Linked DNA regions of Alligator mississippiensis. The protein of the gene in region 2 binds, or shares a complex with, the protein of the main gene of each other region. Links are inferred from orthologs where the notes say so. Each region holds a gene or a part of one and is shown on either strand. Other genes may lie near its edges. The genes, in order: MED13L, MED7, MED24 and MED16.

Region 1 (7,821 bases), on a different chromosome or scaffold from region 2:
GTTCAAAAGGCTCCCACCTTTCTTCAACAGTTTCACTTGCTCTTGCATTGGCACAATTTGATAGTGCAGCATGAGTGGAAATTGCTAACTGAGTTTTCTCTTTTTCCATGCAGAGTTTCAAAACATTGATACATCAGTTTGTTTTCGGAGCAACCTTCTGTCTAGGAGTGTGAATCCTGATGTTCAGTTTAGTACAGATAAGCTGGTGATCTGTACAGCATTCTGCGCCTTGCATAGCCCTGGTAATGTAAACATCCCTCAGGTATTGCTATGAGTGATGACATAGTCTAGAAGGTGCCATTGTTTTGACTGAGGGTGCTACCAAAAGTAGAACCACTTTTCTGGCATGCTGAAAATGGTGTTTGTAACAGCAAGGTCAAACTCTGTGCAGAGTGTTAGGAGTAATTCTTCATTTGTGTTTAGAGACCCATGTCCAAATTTCCCCATGAATGTTCCAAGTGGCATAGTCATCTCCAGTGTGTGTATTGAAATCACCCAGTAGTAGGATTTTATCATTGTTGAAGGTATTTCTTAGAGTGTCACTCAGCTGTCTTCATTTCTTTGAAAGCAAGTAGTGTTGGGGTGTAGGTGTTATTATGGCCATAGAGTTGTTATGGGACAGTGGTATCAGGAATGTCATTAAGTGCTTGGATATTGACACAGTTTGATGTGATCATTTATTAGCAATGGAGTTTGCTATTGTGAATCCTACCCAATGTAGGCCGGTGTTTTGGCCTGCCTTGTAACCTGACAAGTAGAAAGTGTGTTCTTTTTCTCTAAGCACACTGCTGTCATGTAGTCTAGTCTTGGATAAGGCAGTGATATCTATTTGATACCTGTGTAGCTCCTTTGCTATTAATGCAGTTCTTCTACAAGCTCGATTTTCCTTTTAGTGTATGAATGTTCCAGCATCCAATTGTCAGTTTCTGTCTGTTTTTGTTTCTCCCACTTAAAAAGGAGATCCCGCTGATCATAGGAAACCAGCCAGGAGTTGGTGAGAGGTGAGCCTTTTTTACCCCAACTTTTATTGGGGCCTCCTTGGATTGAGGCAGGTGGTGCCTCCCTAATTAGGGCCACCTGGTTGCCTAGGTAGGACCTCATGTTCCCATCACCAAGAGAGAGTCATGCAACCATCACACCTAAGCCACTCATGTGGAGATCATAGGCTACCTGCTTCCAGCTGTTCAGGTTTGTCAGCACTGCCTAGGAAATTCTCACCATGACTGTTTGGTGAAGAGTTTGTGGATGATGATGGTGAATACCTCAGCCCACCCCTAACCCCTTCCATTGTTGCCGCCTGAGGGACTGACGCAGGATGATGCAGCAGTGGTGGGGGGAGAAGCAGGCCAGATGTGGTTTGAGGGAATAGTGGGCGCGCCGCAGCAGTGGCAGTGGGGGGAGGGGAGGGGAGGAGTGGGCCCGGGCCTCACGTGGTGGGGAGGAGGACCAAGCCCAAGCTGGGGGAGAAGCTGGCCCACGCGGTGGGGGGAGCAGTGGGCCTAGGCTGCCACAGCGGTGAGAGGGAACAGGATGTGCGGGCTTGGAGCTGACAGTGGGGGGAGGAAGGGGGTGGGGTAGAAATGGGCCCGGGCCCAAGGAGGGGAAGAGGCTCATTTCTCCCCTTTCTCAGCTGCTACCATGTCGGGCTGGGCCCACTGCTCCTGCCCACCGCTGTGGTGGGCGGGCTTCTCCTCAAGCTCACCCAGGCCCACTTCTCCCTGCCCCCTCCCTCCTCCCCATTGGCTCTGAGCCCACTCCTCCTGTTCCCCTGCCACCGCTGGGTCGGCCCAGGCCTGCTGCCCCCCCCCTCCACGGCAGGCCGGCTTCTCCCCACCCTTGAGCCTGGTTCTCCCTTGCATTGGGCCAAGGCCCACTCCTCCCCTCCCCCTGCGGCGGGGAGGGAGAGATGGTGGGGAAGAGGGGTGGGAGGGGAATGGGAAGGGGGGTTACTTGGGCCAAGGCCCACTCCTCCCCTCCCCACTGTGGCGGGGAGGGAGAGATGGTGGGGAAGAGGGGTGGGAGGGGAATGGGGGTTACTTGTGGCTGTGTCCCGCCATGGTGGCAGCCGTCACTGAAGCAGCAGAGGAGATGTGGGGAGTGGCCGTGTCCCTGCCCTGGCACGAGGCAGCTGAATGCAGGCCTCTGTCCTCCTCCCCTGTCATTTTTGATGGGCAATTTACTAGTCTAATATTATAAAAGCCTTAGTTTGTCTGTCTGTCTGTTTATAACGCTTTATTTGTGACCTGATTGGCTGTCTCAGCAGCCAATCAGAATGCTCTGGACAGACAGGACAGAGAGTGGAGTGCCACCATGGCAGTGAGGGCTGGGGGCGAGGGGCCAGGCCAATGGAGCTAGCGTGGTCCCCCCTGCCCCACTCCTTGGAGGCAGAGGGGGATGGTGGGGATGGAGCCGGATGGCCTCACCCCACCAATCTGCTCCTTGGAGCTAGGGGCCAGAGCACCCCCCCGTCACCCCGCAACAAGATCCAGCAGGGAGACGGGGGGGAGGAGAGGAAGCAGGCCTGCCATGGCGGGGCGGGGGGGCAATGGGGTTGGGCCCGCAGCAGGGGGCAGGGGAAGAAGGGGGAGTGGTCCTTCTTCCCCCGAACCCAAACTGCTGGGGGAGGGGGGGGGGGACAGAGTTGAGCCTGAAGGGGGCGGGGCCAGACTAGTGCGGTGGGGGGCAGGGACGGGAGCACAGGGCCAAATGCTGACCTCCATCCCCACCTCCCCCCATCATTTTTGATGGGCAATTTGCTAGTAGCAGTAGTAATAATAATAATTATAATTATTATTATTATTAGTTTTTCAGGTTCTTCAGGGAGGATGGAATAGAACTGATGCTTAACTCCACTTACGCAGGATGGCGGGGGGGAATCATCCTAATAGGTGGAATAGAATCTGACCCCAGGGATCTAAAGTCTATCCAGAGCAGTGCATTTGTACAGTTTGGACAGGGCTGTTGTGCCAGTATATGGCTCCAGATTTACTACAACGAAACAGGTCTTCTTACTAATTCTGTTCTGTCAGTGTAATAAAATACTAGCTCCTGCTGATTACAACTATTTGCAAAGAAAAGTAAGCGATGAAAAATATTATTTAAAAACGTGAAGAAAGCTCTTGTTTTCACCAAATAGGATAAAAAAATCTGCTTTTGTACTACATCAGATAGTTTAAAATGTGTTGTATGTTTTTTCTATTTGTTATTCAATATTGACTTTAATTGCTAGGCAAATTTAAATTAATTTTACTTTTTAAATGGCGATTTTCCATTTGTTAATGAGAAGTCTAGGTAGTTCAGCTTTATTCTACATGGCTAAGTCAGTTTCCTACTTGAAAGTTTCAAAGGGACGCTGTCAACTTTAGCATTTTACATACAGTTCTTTATTCATGTTGCAAAACATACATTAAAGTAGAAATAAATATTTTCATTAAAATGAAGTAATATTAACTATAGCTATTTGTTGCTATTTGATTACTTTTTTGAGTGTTTTTCCCCTAGGACAATGAATACAATTGTGCTCAGTTTCACTTGTTTATAGTCAGCTTTACTTTCAGGTATAGTTAATTTGAGGGAATGTGTATTGTTAAAGATAGGCAAATGTTTGTTTTAAGAGCTGTTTCAAGTCGAACAAAACAAACATGTATGAGGTAAGATTCTTTATATCAGTCTAAAAAGCATCCTAAAAGTGTGGGACAATTTGATTTAGCTTTTTAACATGGCAATCTCCATGGAAACTATAATGTTAAAAGGAATAACTTAATTCTAAATTACTTTTTGCATTTTTTAAATTTATAAATACACTTACTGCTAAATATTTTGTTTTGCTTTCTAAGATATAGCAAAGTACTGGTATGCCCTGTACGTCACATTTAAAGCAATGAGTGATTCGGTTCCCCTTCCAGCTACTCTTCCGGTGCCAGCAATATAGTCGAAAGGGCCCTGGCAATTTATTTATTCGTTTTTGTTTGCGTCTGGATGGACATTATCATCGTTTTGTGCTGGAGGATGGACAAGCGCAGTTATTCACTCTTAACATGGGATCTTTCACTCTGCAGCAAGTGACAGCAAGTTTGGGGTCTCTAAGCCACCCAATAATAAAATGTATCAAGCGATTTGCCTGCAGGTAATATTGCTAGCAAGGCGGATGCCACGGTTTGTTTTTTACGAAGCACCTTGCGCTCTCCCCAGAGGGCTGGGTATCGCGCCAGTCGTCAGCACTGAGGCAGGGGAGGTTTGCAAAAACTCGGATCGTCCAGACTTGTGCCCAAGCTGCCACTTTTGGGTAGCCACTGCAACGGGGAGATGCCTCTGGTTATAATGGAAGGGCACGGATTCATTTGGGTGATTTTCTTTTCCTGGACCAGCGCCCTGGTTGGGATGAAGTCAGACAGGTTTTGGCCTGGAAACCACCTCCTGCAGGCCTCCAAGGTGAGCAGGGCAAGGGGAGGCTCTAGGAAGAGGGGGCCTGGTCCACCTGCCCGAGATCCAGGGCCCGCCCCGGCTCCCACCGAGCAGCAGCCCCTGCTCCAGCTGGAGGCGGCGCCGCTGGAAGCCGCTGCCCCGAGCCCGCCGGGCGGCCCCGCCCCCGAGCCCGTTGCTGACTCCGCAGCACCCCCAGCGGAGCCTCGGGACTGCGCAGGGGGGGCGGGAGCCGGAGCGCTGCCCCCCTCCCGTCGGAACGCGTCACGTGGGGCCGCGGCGGCCAATGGCGAGGCGCGCTGGGCCTGGCGGCCGCCATTGCTGTCAGAGCGGAGAGAGGCGGCGGCCGGGCGTGCGGCGGAGCGGGCAGCGGCGGCGGCGCCGGGCGGGCAGCGCTGCGCGAGGGCGGCGGGGACGGGCGGGGACAGCGCGCGCGCTCTGGCCGGGGGCCGCCGCCAGCCGCCCGCAGCCCCCGGGGCCCCGCGCGGGGCGTAAACAAGGCGGCGGCGGCGGCAGCGGCGGCAGGAAAGCAGCGCCCGCCCACCGCCAGCGGCGGCAGCAGCGAGGGCGGCCGGGTCGGGCCGGGCCGGGACACGGCCTCCGCCGCCCGCCGCGTCCTGCCGGGGCCGCTCCACGCCGGCCGCCCAACCTGGCCGCGGGCGGGCCCCCCCCGGCGGTGCTGACGGCGCGGCCCCCGGCGGCTCGGGGTGTCGGTCGCGGCGCGCAGCGCGGGCCCCCGAGCGCCCCCGGGCGGCGCAGCGCCCCCTGCCGGCCCCGCCTGCGCCGCCGAGCCCGGGGCAGGACCGGGACCGGGACCAGGACCGGGACCAGGACCAGGACCAGCACCGCGGCGGCCGCCCCCGTGAGCCGCCCCGCCCCGCCCCGCCCCACCGGGCCCGTCTCTTCAGACATGCCCCGCTCCGGCGGCCGGGCTCGCCGAGGATCATGACTGCGGCGGCCAACTGGGTGGCGAACGGGGCCAGCCTGGAGGACTGTCACTCCAACCTCTTCTCGCTGGTGAGTGCCTGGCGCGGGCGGGGGGCGAGCCCGGCCCGACCACACCCGGCCCGGCCCCGGCGCACAACGCGCTGCTCGGCGGGCGACGACGCTCCAACTTCGCGGCTCGGCTGCCGCTGCCAGGGGGCTTTATATCCCGGCCGGCGCGGCGCGGCGGCTCCTCCGCAAGCCCCTCCCCCGGCTCCGCTCCGTGTTTGTTTTGCTCTCCGACGTCGGGGTCGCGAGCGCGTGTCCCCTCCCCGGCGGGGGGGGCGGGGGCGCAGCCGGTCCTCTGCCCGTGCCCGCGGGGAGCAGCCCCCGCCGCCTCTGCCCGCCTGCCCCGGCGCTTCGCGCCTCCCAAACTGCGTGTGCGCTCATGTCTCTGCTCCCCCCTCTCGGAGCGGCAAACGCCATTTCAGCAGCAAGCAGTTGCGCGCAGCGATTACGTGCAGGGTGGGCACCCTGGGCTCCGGCCGCTGGACGCGCCAGCTGTCCTGCTGGGGCCGCAGCTCTGTCCCCATCCCACAGCTCAAAGGAGAGGAGCGGGGACAACACCTCCTCACTTTTTTTGTTTCCTAAGGGAAGCGCTCGCTGGGAGTGTGGTGGGCTGGGTATCTTGCTAAAACAGATGCTGTCTTCTCATCTTGCTGGTAACTGGCAACTTTCACTCTGTTTTTGATGGCAGGGTTTAATTTTGCAGCAGTTATTGTATCAATTCTTCATAGTGAGACACTCAGCTAATTGCAGATCCTTAAAGAGAGTAAGAGCTGTCGCTTCTTTGTTTCAGTGATGGTTCACTTCAAAATGCCTTTTCCCCTCCTTGTCCCAGATACCTTGTCCCTGCTTGCTGGAGAGCAGACCTAAGGGTTCTCCCTTAGTCATTCAGCTAGGAGCTTCCCACACTGATACCTGGAGCAAGTAGGAAGCGAAGTGGGGCTTCATTAGAGTCTGCAGTTGGGTTGAGCTAAAACAATAGCTAGTAATGGGAGGTTGGGAACAGCCTTCTGGAGGAATGTGTGGGGAGGAAGAGCGCAAAATGTGAGAGTCGAAAGTCTCACTTCTGGAGAGGCAGGGAAGGAATGTTGAGCAGGTGGTGATGCTGGTTTGTTTTTTGTTTTGTCTTTGTTCCCAGTTCATGTGCGTATGTGTCTTCATTTTCTAAAATCCTTGGTTCAGGGGTAGGGATGTGTAAGTGACTAAGAACCGTGTCATTTCTAAGTTGTATAAATGGCATAGTATCAGACGTGTTTTGGGGCTGTTGGTTGTACCTGTGCTGATCTAAGGACGTAGGCAGACAAGGTTCTTTGGGTAAATGCCGTATCTTTTATTAGGCCAACCATTACTTGGTTTAATAAAAGATATTGATCGCATTTACCCAAAGAACCTTGTCCACCTAAGTATATTAGGCATACTTTCATTCACTTCTCTTCATCTTAATTTGGAGTGTCTCTCACATTTGATGTATCTTGAATTTATTAAGAATGTAACTCTTTGGGGCAGAAGTCTTATTTACCTATGCACGTGTACAGCATATATTGTGTTGGGGTGCTGAGCCTGTCATGGCTTTTGGGTGGCCCCGTAATACAAACTAAAAAGCTCTTGGCTTTTGCATTTGTTCCATAGTTGTGAAAATGGTTACACTGTTAAAAAAATAAAATTGCATTTACAGAGTTTTTTCCCTGAACCATGATAGTGTGTATGTGGCTGTGCGTGTGCAGATGTAGCAGTGATTCGTATAGATCAGTTTTGCATATGGAGACAAGCTAGCCATTAAATACAGGATAAATAACTATTAGAACTGTTAGCAGTAAGTTAATAAACAGTATCTTTAAAAAAAGAGGATTATTCAGGTTTTTTAATAGGAACCTGAGCATATTTTAGGAAGTTGTTAGCATGGCATAACTTCTTGTGTAGTGTTATACTCGGTGCTAATCGCTACTAAAATAGTTTTTGGCATATGATATTTTAAACTATAAAGTTATAAGATTCAGAGATCTCCTCCTTCCCCAAGAGTTTACCATTTATACTGATAAACATCTATTGAGCAGTAAGTTTTTAATATGTATGCAGAATATCAATGAAAAAATTGAAAATTCTTCATCTCTCATTCCTGTTAATCATCTATAAATTCTGCAGAGCCAGAAAATATTGCCCTTAATTTGTCTTATAAAACTACCTTAACAACTTCACTTGCTAGTGGCTTTTGTGTGGCTGTGGTATCAAGTAACTTCTAAGCAGTGATTTGCAGATTAATGTCTTAATTAAGAAATTATGCTTTCCTACGTATTTTGTGTTAACTTCACTTGAAATGTCAAGGAACTGACAAGACTCAACTATTTTTTTTGTAAACAAGTTAATTAACTGTGGTAAAGTCATGTTTGTTTTAGACTCTTATCGTGTCAG
Region 2 (7,263 bases):
GAGTCCTCACTGGCTGTCATTTGTCCACCCCAAGGCTCGTGGGTGCTACATTAATGCAATGGTTAATAAGACCGAGCTTCCAGCGGGGAATGTACAAACCCAGAGAGGGAGCTTGAATGCATGGGGGAAGTGAGCACTTCTCTTGACTCCCAAGATGACATTTATCCCTGGTACCTCTAGCTAAGGGTTAGCTTCTTCTCTGGAAACCCTGCAGAAAGGTCCTTCAGCCATTCGGGGTGCGTCGGCTGGTTCTTTCTTGCTCGTTCTCAGAATCGCCCATCTGGCTACCAGGAACGGGAGGGAAACCAATGTAATTCTTGAACTGGTATCTCTATCGCCTCGATCTTGGTGACTACGCTCCCCAGTGAGGAAAGTGACTCAAGAAGACCACAAAGAAGATCGGAGGCTGCATCTGCGTGGCCTCCTGAGTGAGATCAGGCAAGTCGCCAAGACACAAACCACAGATCTGTGGGTCTAGGCACGAGTGTCTCAGTGTGAGCGGCAGGGCTACAACCAAAGACCCGGCAACACTCAGCATCCACTCTCTTCTTGGTCAGCGTTGACTTTGATGGCTTGGCCATACACAGAGAATGGACGATGGCCATTTCCCCGAGGATTTCTTGCATGGAGAACCCTTTACAGGAAGGAGACCACACAGGCGTTCCTAATTTCCATTTCAAAGAGGCTCACAAGAGTGATATGAAGGCAATGAATGGTGAGCCAAATGACTGAGAGAAGACTGCTGAGGATGGAAGCACTTGGAGACAGCTTATTAAGTGTGCAATGAAAGCTTTTGAAGAAAGAAGAGCCCAACATGCAGAAGAAGAAACCTCAGGGAGGACCCACAGCATATTCAGGACCATTAGATACCAGCTTGACATGTGAGAAGCGCTGAAAGGACCGTGTCATTCAAGAATCGGGCTCTACGGCTACACTTGCAGATGTTTAACAAGCTCACTCAGTGCAAATCTGTTGTCTAGTGAGACAAACAGACACCCAGATAGGAGTCTTGTTCATAAACGTGTCCTAAAAGGCAACATGCTAGACTTCCCAACCAAGAGTTCTAGTTTTTTGTAAGACTCCCCAATAGGCAGGCAAGGTTCTTGAAGTGGTTGTGATATCTTTAATTAGACCAACTGAGTGATTATTAGACTCCCCAATATGCTTTGTGCAGTCAAAGCATGTGACAGCTCTGCCAAGAGGCTGTAGGAGACTCTCAGTACAAGGCTGTGTAAAATCAAACCCAACTTGCGTTGCAGTAGTGCAAAACCAGAAAGTCCCCCACGCTTGCACGGTGCTGTTGGTATCCCTCGGCAGGTCACTGGAGGAGGTGTATTTATTTCCCTTTTTTTCAACTTAAGATTTAGAAACAGTCTTCCTATCTCTGTGTTCTTAGGTGAGACGATGAGGTTTTTGACCGTGAAGTATTTTGCAACGGGCCGACTTTTCTCTGTGTGAAAGTTATTAGTTATTTGCACTGAAGTTGCACTCAGGGGCCCTCAGAGAGATGGGGAAAACTGTAGCGACTGTCTGGATAGCCAGCACTACATGCGCATAACAAGCAGCAGTCCCTGCCCTGAACAGCTTCAAGAGATGGTGAGAGACAAGAGATGGTGATGGATAAGAGAGGGTGAGAGAAGGGAAGCATTATTAGCTGCATTTTACAAATGAGGCAAAAGACCTCAGGAATCTTTCTGCCGATCCTGATGGCCCTGGCGCTAACCTGGAAAGAGTAATGGTAAAATCCTTTTCCACCTTCACATGCTGACGTGGCACTTAGGTAGCTGCATCTGCCACTTTTGGTGCATGTGCACACTTTGGATTGCACACGCCTCTGCTCTCCCTGCATTTCCCTTCTGCGTGTGCTCAGCAGGCTACACTGCGTGGGCATGTGTGTACTGCTGTGCAAGTACTGAAAACTGAGTGGTGGAAAACCCTGGGGGAAGGCAGATCCTCCCACCTTTTGGCTCAGTGGCCTTATAGTCAGGGCCCTGGCCTAAGGAACGTGATATCCGGGAACTAGACCTCCTGCACTCAATGGGATTGGCATCTTCAGCTCCTGCTTTCTAGCAAAGTGCTCTCACCCCCAGGCCACGGGCAAGGCATGGCCTTGAGCCTTCTCCAACCCCGCTCTTGAAACTGGTCCGCTTGGAGCCAGGAGCAGAAGGTGCCTAGGGCAGGAACAGGGAAACGAACCAGAGGATCAGGATCAATGAGACGGATGCCGTGCTGAATAGTAGCATGCCCTGGATTCTGCGATTACCCAATGAGTATTAAATACAAGGGCGGATAAGCCAACTTCAAGAGGCAGTGGGCAATGCCTTGTCTGTAGTCCAGGACCTTTGTTAAAGGCCTGTGGCAGAGCTGAGCATGGATCCCTTATCTCTTGGCACCAGACTGGTGCGTTATCCCCAGGACTGTGCTTCTTTGCATTGCAACCCCATGTTTCTCCTACATAGAGGTAGCTTGTAATAACCCAAACTCTTTTAATCCGCTTGATTCTTTCCACGCTGGTATTCAACTTGCTTTAGTGGTCTTGATATGTAGGCATGCAGTGGTGACTCTGGGCCACTTATGCTCCACTATTTCTGGTTTTATCGGAATTCACATGTGAAAACTCTCGCTTAAAAATAATGCCCTACATGACGCCTACACCTCAAAGCTGAGTGCAGGGCACAGCGAGCAGCAAGGGGGGGAAATGCTTGAAAAAACACCGTCAAACCACTCTTATCCTGTCACATGCTTTTTTCTGCATCAGGTTGCCCACCATGGCTGCCCATAAAAATTCTTGTGTGCAGAAAAAAGCTTTCTGTACCCGGCTGCCTAAGTCTGAACCTCCTGTCTGGCAACGATACCATCAGTGACGTTATACTGTCACTTGGGCAGTGGTTTTGTATGAGGAAGACTGAATTAACTCACATTGCCGGATGTCAAAAGATCCAGCACGGCCGGCCCTCTCTCCAATATTGCCAGTAGGCAAGAGAAGGTGAAAAATGTCATCGAGATATGGGAACCTCAGACTTTGCTCCTTTGAAACTGGACACAATTAATCACCAGCTGTCTTTGGGACAAAATAACTGTGATTTGGGGCCTGGTGTCTTACCAAAGAAAGGGAACATTTGAGCCCAGATTTGACAAAAGAGCACGTAATTAAACATTCAAGCAGTGCTGCCAGGACAAGCCTTTATTTGGCAATATGTTTCTGGGAAATGAGCTGGACAGGAACCGCAGATGAAGCAGATAACGTGATTGCCATCACTACTGTATATGGTGGCGGCAGCACTTGAAGGGCTGAATGATGACAGAAAACAAGGGCACCGCTTGTAGTGACAACACACACTTCCTTGGAAACTTCTCCGAAGCCGAAAGGCTGCGCCGTCTTCGTTCTCATGGTGCCCGGGCTCTTGCAGCGCCCGTCGGGGCATGATCTGAGCCCCTGCAGTCACAAAGCCAAGCTTTAAAAAGTATCCCCAGGCTCCAAGGAGAAATGGATCGCAGGTCAAGCTGCCGGCACCGTATCATAACCACCGCTGCTCTTGCCTCTGCGTTCGGTCTGGAGGATATCAGCAAACTGGACGGGCAAAAACATTTTTATGTGAAATGAATCCCTATTTTATTTTTCATCTCTTGCAACTGAAATAATTAACATTTACAAACGACATTGCTGCCCGTGCCGACTTTTCCAAATATTTTTTTTAGGAAGGGGCAGTCAATTAAACAGGCTGCAAATGGGCGTCGTTGGGAGAAGCCAGGTTTGTTTGGCCCTATTCTTTTATTCCTCTGGGTAGCGGGTCCAGTCCCTTCTTGCTGGTTTATTCTCAGGGATTTCTTAGGGCGATCTCTTTTATTGGATCCAATAAAAGATATCATTAACTCTTGAACTAAATTCCACTTCCTCCCCCCACCAACATCTGGAGGAGCAAGTGCCCCCCCCGCCAACATCTGGACAACCAACTCCCCCTACACCCACATCTCAATAACCAACTCTTCCCCCCCCCAACATCTGGATGACCAACTCCCCCTGCCCTCGCTAACATCTGGATGACCAACTGCCCCCCACACACCTGGATGACCAATGCCACAACATCTGGAGGAGCAACTGCCCCCCCCCCCCGGCCGTGCCAACATCTGGACAACCAACTCCCCCTACACTCACATCTCAATAATCAACTGTTTCCTCCCCCAACATCTGGATGACCAACTCCCTGCCCTCGCTAACATCTGGATGACCAACTATTCCCCCCCCCCCGCACACATCTGGATGATGAACACCCCTCTGAACATCTGGAGGACCAACTATGAGCCCAATTAAAGAGACAACCCTAGGAAACCAATTGATTCTGGTCAAACCAAAGCCGCTGCTGCCCTCTGCTGCCACGAGAGAGAACATGCCGTGGTGGCAGCCAGCAGGCGCCGGCGCTCAGAGGCCAGGGGTGCATGCTGGAGGCGCCCTCCATGCCCCCGGGGTGCTGGGGGGTCCCTGATGACGCCTGGCAGGCTGGGCTGCACGTCTCTGCACCGCTGCCCTGCCCGGGGGAAGAGCCGTGTCCCGCAGCCTGCCTGCAGCGGTGCTAAGGGACGCGCCCAAGGGCACACGGAGAGTCGGTGGCAGAGGGGTGCTCAGGGACGTGCCCAAGGTCACATGGGAGTCGGTGGCAGGCGGTGTAAAGGGACGTGCCCAAGGTCACATGAGGTGTCAGTGGCAGAGCCAGGGATCGCCCCTCCCCCTCCCCGCCGGGCATCACAAGGTGGGGCTGTACCGCACAACAGCCGGGCAAGGGCACGCCCCCCAGGTCAGGCCACTGCGCGTGCGCCGCACGCCCGGAAACTGTCGCCCGACGCGCTCCGGAAGCGGCGCGAGGGGGTGGGAACAGCGGGTGAGTGACGTGCGGGGCCACCAATGGAGTGGCCGGCCCTGAGCCACCTCAGCCAATCGGGGCGGAGCGGAAGTTGCGCCGCGGCGGCCGGAGGTGTGTGCAGCGGGCCCCGGGGCCGGAGCGGCGCCAGGACAGGGCGGCCTGAGCCCGGGCCGGGACGGGCCTGCCCACAGAGCTTGGCGGGGGCGGGGAGGTTCGTCCTCCAGATGTTGGTGGGGGCGGAGTTGCTCCTCCAGATGTCGGGGCTTGGTCCTCCAGATGTTGGCAGGGGGTCGTGGTGCCTCTGATGATGGGGGGGGGTTGGTCTCCCAAATGTGCGGGTTCGTCTCCCAGATGTTGGCTGGGAGGGGGGGGTTGGTGCCCCAGATGTTGGCTGGGAGCCCCAAGTGTTGGTTGGTGCCCCAGGTGTTGGCGGGGGGGTTGGTCTCCCAAATGTGGGGGTTTGTCCCCCAGATGTTGGCTGGGGGGGTTGGTCCCCCAGATGTTGCCTTCCTTCTGAGCGGGTCTGCTCCCCTCAGTGTACGTGTCCCCCGATCCCCCCTTATGGGATCACAAAGGTTTGGTTTGACCAGGATCCTGTGTCCACCCCAGCCTCGCCCCGTCCCTATTCTTGCATGACTTGTCCCAAGAACGGTTGCCGCACGTTTAATAACCCCCCGTAGAAACAGAGCGAGGTGAGGTGGTTTCCACGCGGGCGCTCGCCCAGCTCTGTGTGTGCATCACCGTGTGTCGTGTCCCCCCCCCCCCCGCCGCACTCGATGCATATTATTTATGTTTGTTGGTTTCTTCCAATTCTTCGAGAATAAAAACAAAGAAATAATGACATTTCTTTAAAGAACTATCAGGGTAAGAAAAGTGCACGTGTGCGAGAAGTAAATATCCCCTCCTTCCAACCTCTGAAAGGTGTTAATCTCTACGACCCGCGTCCTGGAGCATTTGACTTCCTGTCGGTTGCGTTACGTCCCGCTTGGTCTCAGGGGTATCGTCGGGTTTGTCCCTGTGTCGTGAACTCCTTTTTTCCAGTTGGTCTGAGCGGTGTTTTACGGGCTGTTTTTTACACCCCAGGCACTTCTCTGCCACCATGGGGGAACCGCAGCAAGTGAGCGCTCTGCCTCCACCTCCGATGCAATATATAAAGGAATATACAGATGAAAACATTCGCAAGGGGCTGGCCCCGAAGCCCCCGCCGCCCGTGAAAGACAGCTACATGATGTTTGGTAACCAATTCCAATGCGACGATCTTATTATCCGCCCCTTGGAAAGCCAAGGGATCGAACGGTTGCATCCCATGCAGTTTGATCACAAGAAGGAGCTCAGGAAACTCAATATGTCCATCCTGGTCAACTTCTTGGACCTCTTGGATATCTTGATAAGGAGTCCGGGCAGCATAAAACGAGAGGAGAAGCTGGAAGACTTGAAGCTGCTTTTTGTTCACGTCCATCATCTTATAAATGAGTATCGTCCGCACCAGGCCAGAGAGACGCTGCGGGTCATGATGGAAGTGCAGAAGCGTCAGCGTCTCGAGACGGCCGAGAGGTTTCAGAAGCATTTGGAGCGGGTTGTAGAAATGATCCAGAATTGCCTGACCTCCTTGCCTGATGACTTACCTCATTCTGAGGGAGGTTTGGGGATAAAAACTGAACCCATGGATACGGATGACGGCAGCAGTTGCATCGGGCAGAACGAACAGCAGAGAGCAGGCTCGGTCTGTAAGAAAGATCAGGTTTTAGACAAAGATGCGGCGATGTGTAGTATTATTGATGAAATGACATGAAAGGACGCTCTTTGTAGCGGGTGAGAAGTGGGATTAATATTGAAGCTTGTATAATGTACTTTTTGCTGCCTCTATCTGTACCAATAAAAACAATCGTGAAACTTAAGTGTGTGGGTATGTATAAATGTCTAAACTCACGTCTTTTTTTGTAGGGTTTTTTTGCAGGTGTTCAAGCAGATGGAGTTTGCTTGTGTTGTAGGTGTTATTTGCATGTGGTCGTAAGAACAGAAAAGTAAAAATTTCTATAATGTTTCATGTTGATGGGTGGGGAAAATGTGCATCATAGCAGTTCAGTGAAGTAAGGCTCATGTGATGGCTTTGTTTTACTTCTCAATAAATACTTTCATCTTTCAATCAAAACTATCTTGTGAATTTCTATAAAATGTAGGAGCAGAGGAAAGATGGAGAAATTACTGAATGCTCCAGATTCTGACCCATTTCTAAAACGTTGAAGGTACTTTACTTGCATTTCCACTATTTCTATTAAATGTTATATTCTGTTATAAACAACAGCTGATTACTGTCGGATCTATTAATAGTGGCTGCAAAAATCACTGTTTTTCCTCACATTGTAAAACATCTTAACAAATTTTATTTATCAGGGGACTGATG
Region 3 (7,235 bases), on a different chromosome or scaffold from region 2:
TCTTGGTGGCAGAGCACGCCCCGCTCAGCACGTCTGCATTCCCTTGAGACAGGGAAGGGAACCAAGACAATCCCCAAACATCTGCCAGGTCTCCCCCCTTCTGATGGCCTCCTCCAGCCAGAGGGCTTGGCACAGAGATCTGTGCACCAGGTTGAGAAGGCGGTGCTCTTCTTTGAAAAGCCTGCCACTTGTCCTTGAGAACTAAAGATTTCTACCTCTCTGTGTGCTGTAAGTCCTACTGCAAATACAGTGACTATACAAGAGAACACTGCAATTAACCTTTTCCAATTTATCTCACAAAAAAGGCTCACAAACATTCCTTCCCACCCTTCCCTGCCTTCCCCCCACCCCACCTTTTTGCTACCCCTTGTCCTGCCCCTCACCTTCCCTCCTATACCCCAATGATATCTCATCCCTGTGGTTGCTATAGTGATTGTTTGCTGGGGGAAAGCTACATCTAGGGACTTATTACACATATTTAAGCATCTTTTAAAGGGGCCTAACAATTGGAAAGGAAAGGAGAAGGAGTTGAGGGAGTCAGGACTATATGCTCAGCCCACATCACACTTAGAAACATGTAGCCACATACTACAACATGCAAAGCTGTTACCAGTATCTGGCCAGCTCCCAGTGGGCCATGCTCTGACAATTGCTGATTGGAAGATCAATTGGGAAGCTCACAGGCTCTTCTAGCGGTGAGCTCCTGAGAACAGGAACAGCTTCCTGGACATTTGGAAAGAGCTTGGTGTGTGGCTGGCAGAACCATGAATCAATAAAGAAGATATTACTGAGCCATAGAAGCTGACTGTTTCTTAGAAGAAGCAGAGTCCCAGCCTCTCTGGCTGTGACCCCTCCCCATCCCACACCCACCCATCTCAGGATTCAGCCCTGTTCTCTTGTAAGTTGAAGGCAGGGTATATTTGTACCTTATATACCAGTAGTAGCTAAAGCCCCTGGTGGGGGTGAAGGATGTTTGCTGGTTGTAGGGCCACTTATAGTTCTGAACTGACTCACGGATTTGGACTTGATTTGGCTGATTTGGCTTGGAACACAAAAAAATTCTTAAAAAAAAAATCGTATAGACCAGTAGTTCTCACCCTTTTAGACTCAAGGCACCCTCCATAACTTCTGTGAATTGAGGGGTGCCCCATTTCAAAAGCTAATTTATTTATTACAGGGCTTACCTCCTTGCAGTGGGGACAGGGGGGCCACCAATCAGGAAAAGCCTGAGCCTGCCCTGATCTGCTTATCTCTTCACACTTCCCTAATCGCCTTACATTTCCTCTGGCACTCTTCAAAGGATCTGATGGCACTCCAGGGTGCCCCAGGACTCTGGTTACAAATCACTGTTCTAGACTAACTAAAGTAGACTCATCCATCAATCAATCTATTTATCTATTGCACAAACCTTTGTGAGCTGAAGTTTCATCAGCAGCTGATGAAGTGAGCAGCAGCCCTCAAAAGCATGTATTATATCTATATCTACTTTGGTTAGTCTAGAACAGTGGCTCTTAACCTTTTTAGATGTGTGGCACCCCTCATTTTTCCTAAGGCACCCTAGCTTTACTCAAGGCCCTCTCCATAACTTTTGTGAGCTGAGCAGCACCCTGTTTCAAAAATGAATGTCTCAATGGTGGCACTACTTCCTTGCTGAGGCGACAGGCAGTGGAGGCAGGGCAGTGGTCAGGCAGGGACCAGCCTGAACCTGCACATGTCTCCTCACACCTGTCTTGTCTCTTAACACCTTGCAGCACCCCTCAAAAGATCTTGTGACACCTCAGGGTACCCCAGCACCTTGGGTGAGAATCATTAGTCTATAACAGTGGTGGCCAACTTTTTTGCTCTGCAAGCCAGATGGTCAGTGCCAGGTCTGTCTGTGGGCCACATTCGGATGGTGGGCTAGATCCTGCATGCAGGGCTGGCCAAGTATGGTGTGCAGCCTGACCCTGATCTGATCACCCAAGGGGGTGGGGAATGAATGATTTGGCCCAAATCTGGATGTACAGGCTGGCAGGGAGCAGCCTGGCCGTGATCCAGACACGTGGATCAGGGCCAGGCTCCAAGCTGGCTCCAATCTGGACATGCACGAGGGCGGGGACACAGGGACTGGAAGCAGCTTGACCTATTCCAGACTGGTGGCGGGCAGGCCTAGCATGGATCCCACGGCATGGCAATGGCCTGGGCAGTGCTGGATCTGGCACCATTCTCTCACCACCAAATTCTCTGACCCATGGTGAAGCCAGGTGGCACAGCTCTGTACCCTGGATTTGGCCTGTGAGCTGGGGCTCAAGCACCCCTGGTTTCATAGTTTCATAGATGTTAGGGACCAGAAGGGAACTTACAGATCACTGGGTCCAATCCCCCTGCACTTGGGCAGGAAAGACTGCTGGGGTCAGATGACCCAGCAAGATGGGTGTCAAGGTGCTTTTTGAAGATTGCCAGGGTGGGTGACTGTACCACCTTTGGCGGGGAGCCTGTTCCAAACCCTTGGCACTCAACTTATAAAGAAGTTCTTCCTTACATACTGCCTGAAGTGGTCTTCAATCAGTTTATGCCCATTGTTTCTTGTCCTCCCCTGAAATGCCTTGGTGAACAGATGCTCCCTCAGGCCCTGATGTACCCCTAATATATTTATAGGCTGCCACCAAGTCCCCTCTGAGTCTTCTCTTTTCCAGGCTGAACAGTCCCAAGTCTTTCAGCCTCTCCTCATATGACCTGCCCTCTAGGCCTCTAATCATGCATGTGGCCCTCCTTTGGACTCTCTCAAGCTTCTCCACATCCTTCCTGAAGTGTGGTGCCCAGAACTGGTTGCAGTACTCCAGCTGTGGTCTCACCAAGGCCAAGTAGAGCAGGAGGATGACATCCTTAGCTTTACTCGAGATGCTTTGGTAGAGGCATGCCAGTGTTTGATTGGCTCTGCCAGCTACAGCACTGCATTGGTGGCTCATGTTCATTTTGTTGTCTATCACGACACCTAGGTCTCGTTCAGTTGTGGTGCTGGCAAGCGTAGCACTGCTTGTAAGTGTGTTGTGGATTATTTCTCCCCAGCTGGAGCACTTAACATTTTTCTGTATTAAACATCATCAGGTTGAGGTCCACCCACCTCACAAGCCTGTACAAGTCAGCCTGTAGTGAGCACTCCCCCATAGTGACCACACTCCCCCATAGTTTGGTGTCATCAGTGAACTTTGTCAGTTTGCTTTTAATACCTGAATCCAAATGAATGTGTTGAAAAAAAAGCACTGGCCTGAGTACTGAACCCAAAGAGGGCACCTGGGTTTGAGCCAAGGCATCTTGTTCTGCAGTCAGATACTCTACCACTGAGCTATACCCCCTCTACAAGCTGCATCAACCCATCCTTCCACCTGGCAACATTTGTGTCTGAAGGTCAGCGTTGCCAGGTCTTAAATATGAAATGATTGTATTGGAAGCTCAAAACTATTGTCTTTGCAGAAAAATGATTTTACACTGAAAAAAAATGCAAATAAAACTTATTTACTTCATATTGCTCACTATAACTTGCCAGTGAGTGAGGAAGCACTGGGTTGTTGAAGTTGGAGCATTTCTTTATTTCAAAGCAAGCAGTCATTAGGAGGTGCTGACAGCAAGTCCAGAAGTTGGCTTGGACTCTCTGATGTTGAGTTGGGTTTTACATGTGCTGCATCAATGAGCTGCCTCAAAAATTATAGTACGTTTGGAATGCTTCACTGTTATCAGTCACACATCCCTACAAGGGTTGAAATTATGGTACAAATATGATAATTACCATACCTCTGGCAGCACTGCAGGGGGTGGTGGCAGAGCTGGGTGACAGCAGGGAGCTTTCCTAGGCCCCGCTGCCCAGCCAGGAAGGAGGGGCAAGCTTTCTGGTGCCACACATCATAGGCGGCTGGTCAGGGGTGCACGTGCCCCCCCTCTGATGGGGCCGGTGCCCCCCTGACGGCCAACACTGATACTGTCGGTAGGGCTGGTGCCCCCCGACAGGGTTGGTGGCTTCTGCGGGTGCCCCCTCAGATTCAGGAGGCACCAGTCACTCATGCCACGGATTTCTAACTCTGCGGGGATTTTGGCGAAAAAATTAAATCCCTGCCGAGTTTTCCCCAGCCAACGTCCGCACCGCCCACTTCCCCCGCTGGCAGAGACAGCCCGGCTGCCTGCATTGGGGTCTGCCAGGCTCCGACCCCCCAAGAACCACAACTCCAAGGAGGCTCAGCGGCGCTCGAGCGTTCTTCCGGCCAATCAGGGGAGGTCTTGTTGGTAGGTGCTAAGATGGCGTAGTCCAGGGCCCGCAGGAGGTGTTTTCTCTGTGCTGCGCTGCTGGGGGGCTCGCAGGTGAGGGGTCCTCCTGGCATCCGACTGCGGAGGGAGGAGGGTGGCCCCCTTTCCTCCCCCCGCCTCGGGCTGGGAAGAGATATCGCCTGGCAGGAGCCTGCTTCCTCCCCGGGGGGTGAAGAGACCCAGGAGTTCGGGCCGGTCACTGCCTTGAGCGCCAGGCCCTGCCTGTTCCCGGTGGCTGGAAGTAGTTCCTAGGGACCCTGGCTTCACAGCTCCGAGTCTCCCCCACTCCCAATTCTCACCCCTGGAGCCTGTCCTTCCTCCCTCAGCTTGGGAGTGGGACTCAAGCCTCTCAGCTCAGCACTTGGACCAGCCAGCGCTGCCCCCTTGTAAGTGGTGCTGGTGGCATGAATAATAATGTAGGAGCTCATGCATGCGCCCTGGGAGAGGTGCAGGGGTGATGTCTTTCCCTGGGGGGCCCCAAGTGGGATGGTGAAAAATGCCTGCTCTGATGATGCTGCCAAACCTTTCCCCCTCTTGCTTTCAGACCTGAAGGATGAAGGTTGTCAATCTGAAGCAGGCCATTCTTCAGGCCTGGAAGGAACGGTGGAGCGATTACCAGTGGGCTATCAATATGAAGAAATTTTTCCCTAAAGGAGCCACGTGGGACATACTTAACCTGGCAGGTCAGGATTTAGCTTGTGTGTAGGTACAAATGTTTGTCTGTGGTACTTGCGCGCTTCCAAGCGAGGTGGATGCATGGTGAAGGAAAGCAAATTACGCAGTTGTAACATATTCCTAGTTATCTCTCCCACAGCTTTATCAGAACTGCAAAACTGTCCGGCAGCATCCTTTGGAAATGGAGGATGTGCTTGCTTTTCCCAGCAAAGGTGGGGTTGCAGCAGGTGTAGGCATACCTATGCTCCCTTGGGTAGCTGTGAGGATGTGGATACACAGGCAAGAAAGCTGCTCAGATATAACCCCGCCAGAGATGCCAGGGGTATGTTTCTGTTGCTACAAACGCAGGCTGCCAAATCTTTGCTACTGTTGCCCAAACTAAATAGCTTTCATTTTAGCCTGGGTATATAGCTGGCATTCAGTTGAAACGTAGGTATATCTTAAAGCTCTAGTCCTGAAAAGACTTATACATGTGCTAAGCCCTGCTGAATTCAGTGATATGCTAAAAATTAAGCGTTTAAATCTTTGTAGGATGGGAGAGCTGTCTCGTGATTACTCACTGCAATAACACCTGAGCTATTACAGATGTCAAGGGAGTCGGGGTAGGTTAGTGGATGGAGCACTGTAGTTCTAAGTAACCAGCTCTTGGTTACCTACGTGACTTTGGCCTGTTGCTTCCCCATCTGATGCCTAGCTATACAATGGGATAACACACCCAAGGATGAAAAGTGCTATATAAAAATGACATTTTTGGGGTTTTTTTTAATGGGAGCATCTTCTAACCCACAGATGTTATTAGCATTTATTTTCTGCATCTCTATTCAAGAAAGGGGGCTGCCACAAATCCTGCCAAATGTTGTTGCCTACTTGAGTATACATAGCTAAAGATTTGCCAGGCTCTTATGCCAATTATAGTAACTTGTTGCTAGGTTTTCTCCTATAAGCATGCATTGGGAAGATTTATATAAATAAATATAAAGCACTTGGTCCTGGACTGATTTGAAGGGGAGGTTTTTAAAGGGTAAAAATCCCTATTTAAACCGACATTAAGACTGAAATAGAGCATCCTTGTTGTTCTGATGGTTGGATCTCCTGTATCATGATCTCCTGTATCCTGAAATCCTATCTTCCCTCCATACCAATTTAATCGCCTTGGTCTTTTCTTTCTCCAGTGGAGGGGGTGGGGGTTCTTTTTCACTTGATACCTGTTTTCACTTGCTTTCAAAAATTCTTTATTGATGCATTAATATAGGACCCCTGGAACTGATTGGACACTTAACAGTGGGAGGATTATTCCTTCTCATCAGAGGCTAGAATAAAATCAGGATTTTGAAAGCAACAGCCAGGTCCTGAGGGCAATGCATCAATGAGAAGTCCAGTTTGCCCCTGCTGGGAAGTGTGAGGGTCCTAGGATTTTTACTGTGGTGCCATGCTTGGGTGTTTCTGAAGTGTGACACTTCTGTAATATCAGCTTCTATTTAGAGGGTGTGTGCTGTTAAATTTGAAGCCTCACCTGGCTTGCTTGCTGGGATGGAAAGCCATTTCCACTCTTTTTTCCTTGGATTTCCACAGCAGATGCAAGACCCAGTTGGGAAGTAATACATCTGCTATTCCATCCCTTCCCTGACGTGGAGAATGTGTTCCTTTGCTACAATATCTCCCTGTCTCTCTTAGGTATAATTCCTTTTCTTGGTTTGCTAAAATCTTTCTTAGGGGACAAATTTTTGCAATCAAAACTGACCAGAGTCCTGTTTTTCTGAGAGGCACTGGCACAGACTGCAGGCTTTAGCAAATAAACAGCATCAACTACTTTTTCGAAAGTTTTCTTCACAATCCTAGTGACTTGAAATGGGATGTTTATAAACAAAGGTGCAGAAATATGTCATTTAGTGCTTCCACCAAGTCCAGGGTCACTATTGAATGCTTCTGCTCAGCTGTGGGTAACAGACCTTTCAAGTTGTGTGTGAACTGGATCTTGCTATACAAAAGAATACACAGGTTACACGTCCATAACCCAGAGTAACAGCTGCTGTGATGGGATCCCTTTAGATATAATTGTGCTACAATTCGTTTCTATGCCAAGTTGTACTGTGATATATGCTTTATCTCCTTGCCACTCCCACACATTGTACATTCCTCATTCCAGGCTTCTACTCCTCTTTGCGGGCTTGTTTCCTGCCTCCACTCCTTTGTCTGCATTTTAGCCTCTTAGATAAGCTTTTATTAATATTATGCAGGCCCCCATTTCTCTGTAAAGCATTCAACACAGATTGGGCACGATG
Region 4 (7,840 bases), on a different chromosome or scaffold from region 2:
TGCGTCTGGGGGGTGGTCCTCCGAGGAGGAGGATTTCTCTCCTCCATTTACATTTTGCAAATAGGTGGGGGGACGTCCCTGCATCAGTGATGCTGTCTGGGACGGGGGCAGCTGTGAGAGCCTGTGATTAGTTTTTTGTGCCTCTCTTTTTCCCTCTCCCAGGGCAAGCACTCCTAAAGCCAGAGCAGCCCTGTGGAAAGCCTCTGCCCCGGCACTTGCCTCCCCGTGCCCGTCCAGAGCCAAACACTTGCCTCTTCAGGGGTCTGGGTCTTGCCGTAGCCAAACGGCCCCGAGCACTGCCTTCCTCCAGCTAAAGGCTCATCTCCAGGGTTAGGTCCCAGGGGAAGGGGGTCTGTTTTAGCTCTCGTGGCAGCTCTGGGGGGACGGGCTGGGTGTTGGCACCAGCCCCGTCCCATCGCTTCTCCCTGCAGCCTGGCACCGAAGCTGGGCTGCAGCAGCTGAAGCGTCAATGCAGAGAGCAGCGAGATTTAATGCCAAGGGCTGGCTTTCTCTGCAGGGCAGGGCTCCCATCCTTTTTAAATGTAATATAGCGTGTCCTTTTTTTATACATATTTGTGTGTGCGTGATTTAACTCGGGCCCCGGCTGCCCCGCCGCTCCCAAGGTGGCTGGAGCTCAGCGTTGCAGCTCCGCCACCCTGGGCAGCTGGGCGCGCCGGGGCACGGGAGTGTTTCGTGCTGTGGTGCTGTGTGAAATGGGCTTGGTTTCCAGCGCTGTAGGGCTGCAGACTGTGCCGCCTGTGGTTTTTTTAACGTGTACGCTCTGTGGGGTTTTTGTGCGTGTGTCTGTGTATCAAGGGCTTCTCTTCGGTGTATATAGCAGCTGGTTTGAAAGGGACGCGCTGGGCTCGGGGTGCTGCTGCCTTGCACTTGTGTGCGTCACTGCTCACGGCTGTACAAAAGCCTCGTGCATGCCCGTGCCGGGGGGGAGCTGGGGTGGGTCGAGGATGGGGGGTCGTGGTGCTTCTTGCGCTGGGTGATGGATGGGGTTTGCTGCCTTTGCTGGGATCGCTCCCGATTCACCCTGGGTGCGAGCAGGATTGGGGAGAGCAGGGCCGTGTCACACTTCACCACCACGGCATCGAGCGCTGGGGGCAAGGAGGACTTGCTCCCCCAGCAGCGGGGAGCGAATCGGGCCCTTTTATAGCATCTTCTGCTCCGATCAAATCCTCCCGAAGGCCCAGCTCTCCCATGGGTCCCCATCACTGGTGCCTCCTCCTTCCACCTCTGCCCTCTTGGCAAGCCAAAGTGATCTTCGTGGCCCCGCCAGCGTCCCGTGCAGCCGAGCGCACACTGGGGCCTGCGGCGTGTGGCCCGTGGTTGTGTCGTTGCTTCGGGAGCATGGCATCACGATTTCCTTCCTCTTAAATGTGTTCGATGCCCCGAATCCAGCTCCAGCTCTTGCCACTGCTCCTTTTGCTGGTTGCTGTGGGGGGCTGGGCTGGGGAAGGCGAGGACACGTACAGAGCCGGGAGGCATCTGCACGAGAACAATAAACCATGGTGCTCCGGACTCCCTGTGTCCGCGTCTCTGTTGGGGGGCGCAGCCGTCGGTGTCCGTCCCCGGGGGGCTTCCAGCAGGAGACGGTGGGGTGCAACGCGGGAGCCTGGGAGCTGGTTGAGCTCAAATGTCTCCCACGTGTTTGTCCCTCTGCGCTGCAGCTTGTGGGACGGAGGAGAGGGTTTCTATCCCTTGCAGCCCTTGGCCCCAGTTCTTGCCTTGTCCGTTAGCAAGTCTCCTGCCTCCCAAACTCTGGATGCTTCAGGTGGTCCCAGATCCAGGCCCCGCAGGCCTTGGAGGTTGGATGCCCCCTTGTCTTGTTTGCCACCAGCCAAAAGGCCAAGCTGGGAAGCCCAAAAGCAATCCCACCGCTGTCCCCATAAACTGCACAGCTGAGCTCCTTGCACTTGGAGGCAGTCGGAGACTCTGGCAGGGATCAGCAAGGGACAGGCCTCACCTGTACCTGTGCCACGGCCTTCGAAACCGAGACGAAGGGGAAGTAAGAGCCACCGGGGCTGAAAGCATCTCCCCTGCCAGGTGCCGGGGGCTGCGGGAGGCTTCCTGCCCTGCAATTGCTTTTCAATAAGAGGCTGCGTGACCGCCAGGTGCACGTGGGCAGGAGACGGCCGCTCTCCAGCACATCTTAAGATTTCATAGATTCATAGACATTCGGGCTGGAAGGGACCTCGGAAGATCATCGAGTCCAGCCCCCCGCCCAAAGGGCAGGACGTCAGCTGGGGTCATAGGATCCCAGCAAGATAAGCATCCAGTTTCATCTTGAAGGTGTTCAATGAAGGTGCTTGAACCACCTCCGGCGGCAGGCTGTTCCAGACCTTGGGGGCTCGGACAGTAAAGAAATTCTTCCTTATGTCCAGCCTGAAACGATCTTGTAGTAGTTTGTGATCATTCGTCCTCGTCATCCCTTGGGGCGCTCTGGTGAACAGACGTTCCCCCAGATACTGGTGGTCACCCCTGATAAACTTGTAGGTGGCCACCAGATCACCCCTGAGCCTGCGCTTTTCCAGGCTAAAGAGCCCCAGGGCTCTCAGCCTGTCATCGTAGGGTCTGCTTCCCTGACCTCTGATCATGCGCGTGGCTCTTCTCTGGACTCTCTCAAGCTTCTCCACATCCTTTTTGAATTGTGGAGCCCAAAACTGGACGCAGTACTCCAGCTGCGGCCTCACCAAGGCCGAGTACAGGGGGAGAATGACGTCCCAGGATTTGCTTGAGAAGCATCTATGGATGCAAGCCAGCGTTTTGGTCGCTTTACCAGCCGCAGCATCGCATTGCCGGCTCATGTTCATCTTGTGGTCAATGATGACCCCCAAGTCTCTTTCTTCCATAGTGCTAGCCAACATAGCACTGCCGAGCCTATAAGGATGCTGCGGGTTTTTCTTCCCAAGGTGGAGAACCTTGCATTTATCGGCGTTGAACACCATCAGGTTCTCATCCGCCCACTTGCTGAGCCTGTCCAGGTCAGCCTGGATCATCCGCCTGTCTTCTGGTGTGGATGCTTTGCCCCAAAGTTTGGTGTCATCGGCGAACTTGGCCAGTCCACTTCTGACTCCAATGTCCACATCATTAATGAAGATGTTGAACAGTGTGGGTCCAAGGACAGAGCCCTGGGGGACCCCACTGGTCACAGGACACCAAGAGGACTGGCTTCCTTCAACCACCCCTCTCTGGGTCCCACCATGGAGCCAGTTCCCCAGCCAGCAGATTGTGGTGGACCCAAGGTCACAGTTAGCCAGTTTTGCCAAGAGGTGATCATGGGACACCAGATTGAAGGCTTGTTGAAGTCAAGATATATGACATCAATCTCTTCCCCCTTGTCCAGGTGATAGGTCACCTGGTCGTAGAAGGAAATGAGATTGGTCAAGCAAGACCTACCCGCAACAAACCCGTGCTGGCTATCCCTTAAGATGTTGGCGTCGGCCAGTCCATTAAGGATGGCCTCTTTAATAAACTTTTCTAAGATCTTCCCCGGGATAGAAGTCAGGCTGATGGGCCTATAGTTAGCCGGATCCACTTTCCTCCCTTTCTTGAAGATAGGCACTGCATTGGCCAAGGGGTTCAGCTGTGCAGTTTATGGGGACAGCGGTGGGATTGCTTTTGGGCTTCCCAGCTTGACCTTTTGGCTGGTGGCAAACAAGACAAGGGGGCATCCCCTTGTTGGCACGTGGGACTGCAATGAGCATTTTGCTCCAGCTTCAGTTTGTGCCAACTGGAAAACCCCACGTGGAAGAGGCAGGACGTGGACATGGGAGGGAAAAGGGGCTGGGGTTGGGGTGCCTAATGCCCCCAGGCCCAAGCTGGCTTGGATGGGAGACCCCCAAGAAAACAGATGTGCTGCACCCACAAGCATGCCAGGCGCCTGCTGGGCTGAGGCAGGCACAGTGGCACGTAACCTTCCTCCATGAGGACCTCCAGGGGAGAAGAAATGAAGCCCCTCGTGCCCTCTACCTGCTTTCCCATGGGTGGTACCGCTCCCGGCCTTGCAAAAGCATGCACAGGAGCCCTTGCCCCGTGCCCCTTCCTGCCACCTGGGGCAGCTGCCCTGCACCCTGGCAGCAGGGCCAGGGGCTGGGTAGACCTGCCCTCCCAGGGGCACCGTGGGCTTCTGGGAAGCCCAGCGCAGTTTGCTAGGCTGTGCACTAGGCAGCGCTACTGGGGCTTACTGGGAGGGGGCGTTTCCTTCCAGCCCCCACATGGCAAAGGGGCTCGGGGTGGGGGTCCCGCTGCAGCTGCAAGGGAGAGCAAAACTATGGGCCCAAGGGAATGCACAAAGCGGAACATTGGGAGAGCAAACTATGGACCCGAGAGGAGCAAAATATGGAACGCTTCACGAATTTGCGTGTCATCCTTGCGCAGGGGCCATGCTAATCTTCTCTGTATCGTTCCAATTTTAGTATATGTGCTGCCGAAGCGAGCACGAATGTCCCTTCTCCCAGATCGATATTTATACCTCATAGTTATTCATACTTTTACTCTTATGGTGATTAACTATAGCACGTTACGGAGTATAATTAGATGAATGATTCATGAAAAATACTGTATGATGCAGATACTTTTTTAATTTCTAAGTTATTTGTGGTAAAATCTTAGGAAACTTCCACTTTTCCAGCGCCGGCGATGCGAGGGATTCTGGGAGAGGGAGCTTGTATACAAATCAACACCCGGCCCGGAGCGCAGCCTGATATAGAAAGACCCCGACTTGGGGGCGTCCGCAACGATGCCTGCGCGCGCGGCTCCGAAACCGCCTGCGGCTTGAGCCGAACAGCCCTCCCGCCGAGGAGCCTCCCTCTCCCCCCCTCGCCGAGGGCTCCGTCTCGGCCCTGAGTTGCACGTTTGGCTCAGGCGCAGCGCGGGCAGCCCTGCCGGGGGCCTTCGTCAGCCAGCGGCGAAGGAGCGCTGGGGTGGGGGTGGGGGTGAGTCCTGCGCGGGGGGAGGGGAGGCAAGGGGGGGGGCTGTGGGGGGCTCCAGTCGCCCCTTGGGGAGGGGAGGGGGCTCTGGCTACCCTGGGGGCAGCTCCAGTTGCCCCTGGGGGGCATTTCAGTTGCCCCTGATTGGGGGGAGGCTCTGGTTGTCCCCTGGAGGAGTGGGGGATGGGCCTCTGGCTGCCCTGGGTGGGGTGGGGAGGGCTCTAGTTGCCCCTGGGTGGGGTGGGGGGCACTCTAGTTGCCCCTGGGGGAGGGGGGGGCACTCCATTTACCCCTGGGGGGCACCCCTGGCTGCACATTGGGGGGGCGCTTTGGCTGCCCTGTGTCCGGGCCAGGGGTTGCTGGTGGGGGGCGATGCTGACGGCGTTGGCGGAGGCAGCGAGCCCCCCCTTCCATCTCCCTGAAAGGCAGGTATTCGGCGAGGTCTTGGGGCAGGACCCGAGGCGTTTTTAAGGATTCCCGAGTCGTGCGAGATGCAAAAAGCCTGAACTCGTGGTGCAGAGATGACACCGTTCTTGGACCAACCGAGACCGTGCCAGAAAGCATGTCAATAGTGCCAGGCATTCGCCCCTCCGCTGGCCCTGCCCAGTGCGACCCTCTCGGTATTTGGGGGCCCTGGCTCAGCGCAGCGCGTTTCCTTTGGAAAGCAGCTGCTACTTTATAAAGCAGCTTTCCAGCGATGGGCCCGGGTCTCCTGAGCGGGGTGAAACGGGGGGAGAGAGTCCGACAGCAGAGAACAGCGATTCTTCTCTTCCATAGGCACCAAAGTCCATGACTAGACGTCGCGAAGGCGAGCGGTGCCTTGGACGCCTTCCCGAGGCAGCATGGACTTGGCTTACATCTGCGAGTGGGAGAAGAGGCCCAAAAGCAACCACTGCCCTTCAATCCCACTGGTTTGTGCTTGGTCCTGCAGGAACCTGATCGCCTTCACGACAGACCTCAAAAATGAAGAGGAAAAAGGTAGGGCAAAATTGTGTGTTTTCCTCTTTTCCTGAACGATGTCTTACAATGGGAATTTTCCACGAGGAAGAGCGGTGTCCTGTTGTAGTCCCCCCTAGCATTGCTTCTAGCTGGGGATAAAGCATTCAGAAAGGTGCTTTAGCGAATCCCAAAGTGATTTAAGAGTATAAGTCTCACTGGCTTTGATTGCCCGGTGGTTGCGTGAGAGGGTTGTTTGCACATCTTATTTATTCTCCTTGCTGGTTGTGGACGAGGTTTTTTGGGTCGATGCGATATCTAAACGAAAGAGCTGGAAGAATTGTTCTTTGCACCTAAACTAAATAGTTGGAAAAATTGTTCTTTGCAAGCTTTTGAGCAAAAAAACCACCCTTTTCCGGGCACAGGGAGAGTCTGTTGGTGTTTTGTGTGCTCCTCTGGGTAGACAGCACGCTTGTTATCAAGAGTTGGGACAAGCAGGTGTCAGTGGCTGCTGCGGTGGATGCGACAGCAGCAATGTTTCATCCTATCACAGTGAATGAAAATGACTTTGGCATTTGCTGTTTAGTCTCCTCCATGGCACGGGTCTCTTGCTTCTGCTGCCTTCCAATGAAGCAAGGTGCTTCCTGGCTGAAGTGACAAGTTTTCCCCTTTTCTGTGGTTCAACAGGCAGGAGCAAATGCAGCGGAAAGGATTGGGGATTCATCTCCAGGCACCATTGATTTATTGCTTGTGACCTTAATTCTGTTGTCAGATCCACATGGATGGAACCGGGTGCCACTGGTTTCAGGGAGTTGAGGGGTCTGACTGCAGGGGTTCAGTGCAGAGTCAGAGCCTGCTTAAATTGTTCTCAATAGGACATGTTATCCTGTTGTTTTGGGGAATAACCAAGCCTCTCACCTTGTGAGACTCGCACGCTGGGCTTCTCGACAAGCAGGCTGCAGCCAGAAAACGTAGGCAGAGAGGTTTTCTAGGGTAGTGGTGGATTTCCCGTCTCTTGATCACTTTAGGTCAAAATCGGATGCCTTTCTAGAGGCTGTGCCTTAGTCGCCTGGAACCGTGCTCAATACAAGGGGAACCGGGCAAAGTTCTGTGGCCTGTAGTACACGGGCAGCTAGGACTTGTGCGGTCATGGGCCCTGCTGGCTCTGACATCAGTGAGTCCTAGTGCAAACAGTGTGGGAGATTTAGGTTCTTTCTCTTTTCCTCTCCGCAAAACATCATAGTCATTTCATACACCAGGGCAGTGACTCTCAGCCTCTTTTATAATCAAGGGCTCCTCTTCCCAGGCTGGAAGTGCCTTGCTCCTTCAGCTGGTTTTATTAAAGATACTGCTTGCAGAATGGGAGGTGGTTTTGATTTCCACCCCTCCAGCACTTTCACAATCCTGAGATTGAGAAACGCCAGCTAAGGAGCTGTAGACAGTTAATTCTTTGGAGCAGTGAGTGGCTCGTTTGGTACATCAGGTAAGGAAGCCTGTGTATATGTGTTGCTGTAGAAATGAGGGAAGCTGTTGCTGGTGTCCTGCTCTGAGAGTTGTCACAGTTTAAAAACCTGCAGTGGAGGTTACCTGGAACTGACCTTGTGTGTTTTCTTCCTAGATCTCACCCACATGGTCCATATCATCGACACAGAGCATCCATGGGACGTTTATTCCATTAACTCTGGGCACGTTGAAATTATCACCTGCTTAGAATGGGATCAGTCAGGTAAGCACTGCTCAAACAGCGTTTATTTCCCTGGCTTCACAACATTGCAGAGTGTGGTGAGATGCCAGGAGGAGGGTTTGGACAGACTTCTCCTTTGCCTCCCACTCTCTGTGGCCCTGTGCATGGATCTGGTCAGCTGGGTCTGCACTGATTGCTGTGCTTCTCACCCCTTCCAGATTCAAAGGAGTTATGGTTTTATTTTAACCATCAGTGATTAGCTGTACAGCTGCCAGCAAGC

What was found.
Region 1: MED7 (region 2) and MED13L share a complex: the UniProt entries of both Homo sapiens proteins name them as parts of the mediator complex. The link is inferred for Alligator mississippiensis from reciprocal best matches to the Homo sapiens genes MED7 and MED13L.
Region 3: MED7 (region 2) and MED24 share a complex: the UniProt entries of both Homo sapiens proteins name them as parts of the mediator complex. The link is inferred for Alligator mississippiensis from reciprocal best matches to the Homo sapiens genes MED7 and MED24.
Region 4: MED7 (region 2) and MED16 share a complex: the UniProt entries of both Homo sapiens proteins name them as parts of the mediator complex. The link is inferred for Alligator mississippiensis from reciprocal best matches to the Homo sapiens genes MED7 and MED16.

What each region holds. Positions count from the first base shown.
Region 1 is NC_081833.1:23,709,630-23,717,450, forward strand, and holds the start of MED13L (mediator of RNA polymerase II transcription subunit 13-like), read left to right. Parts: upstream 1-4,816; 5' UTR 4,817-5,367; coding exon 5,368-5,439; intron 5,440-7,821. UniProt on the Homo sapiens protein: Component of the Mediator complex, a coactivator involved in the regulated transcription of nearly all RNA polymerase II-dependent genes.
Region 2 is NC_081832.1:77,826,285-77,833,547, reverse strand, and holds MED7 (mediator of RNA polymerase II transcription subunit 7), read left to right. Parts: upstream 1-4,915; 5' UTR 4,916-4,970; intron 4,971-4,984; exon of another isoform or gene 4,985-5,070; intron 5,071-5,942; 5' UTR 5,943-5,958; coding exon 5,959-6,651; 3' UTR 6,652-6,757; downstream 6,758-7,263. UniProt on the Homo sapiens protein: Component of the Mediator complex, a coactivator involved in the regulated transcription of nearly all RNA polymerase II-dependent genes.
Region 3 is NC_081827.1:164,760,154-164,767,388, forward strand, and holds the start of MED24 (mediator of RNA polymerase II transcription subunit 24), read left to right. Parts: upstream 1-4,225; 5' UTR 4,226-4,332; intron 4,333-4,369; exon of another isoform or gene 4,370-4,664; intron 4,665-4,822; 5' UTR 4,823-4,831; coding exon 4,832-4,961; intron 4,962-7,235. UniProt on the Homo sapiens protein: Component of the Mediator complex, a coactivator involved in the regulated transcription of nearly all RNA polymerase II-dependent genes.
Region 4 is NC_081839.1:3,217,729-3,225,568, forward strand, and holds the start of MED16 (mediator of RNA polymerase II transcription subunit 16), read left to right. Parts: upstream 1-4,835; 5' UTR 4,836-4,946; intron 4,947-5,249; exon of another isoform or gene 5,250-5,560; intron 5,561-5,717; 5' UTR 5,718-5,782; coding exon 5,783-5,918; intron 5,919-7,494; coding exon 7,495-7,602; intron 7,603-7,840. UniProt on the Homo sapiens protein: Component of the Mediator complex, a coactivator involved in the regulated transcription of nearly all RNA polymerase II-dependent genes.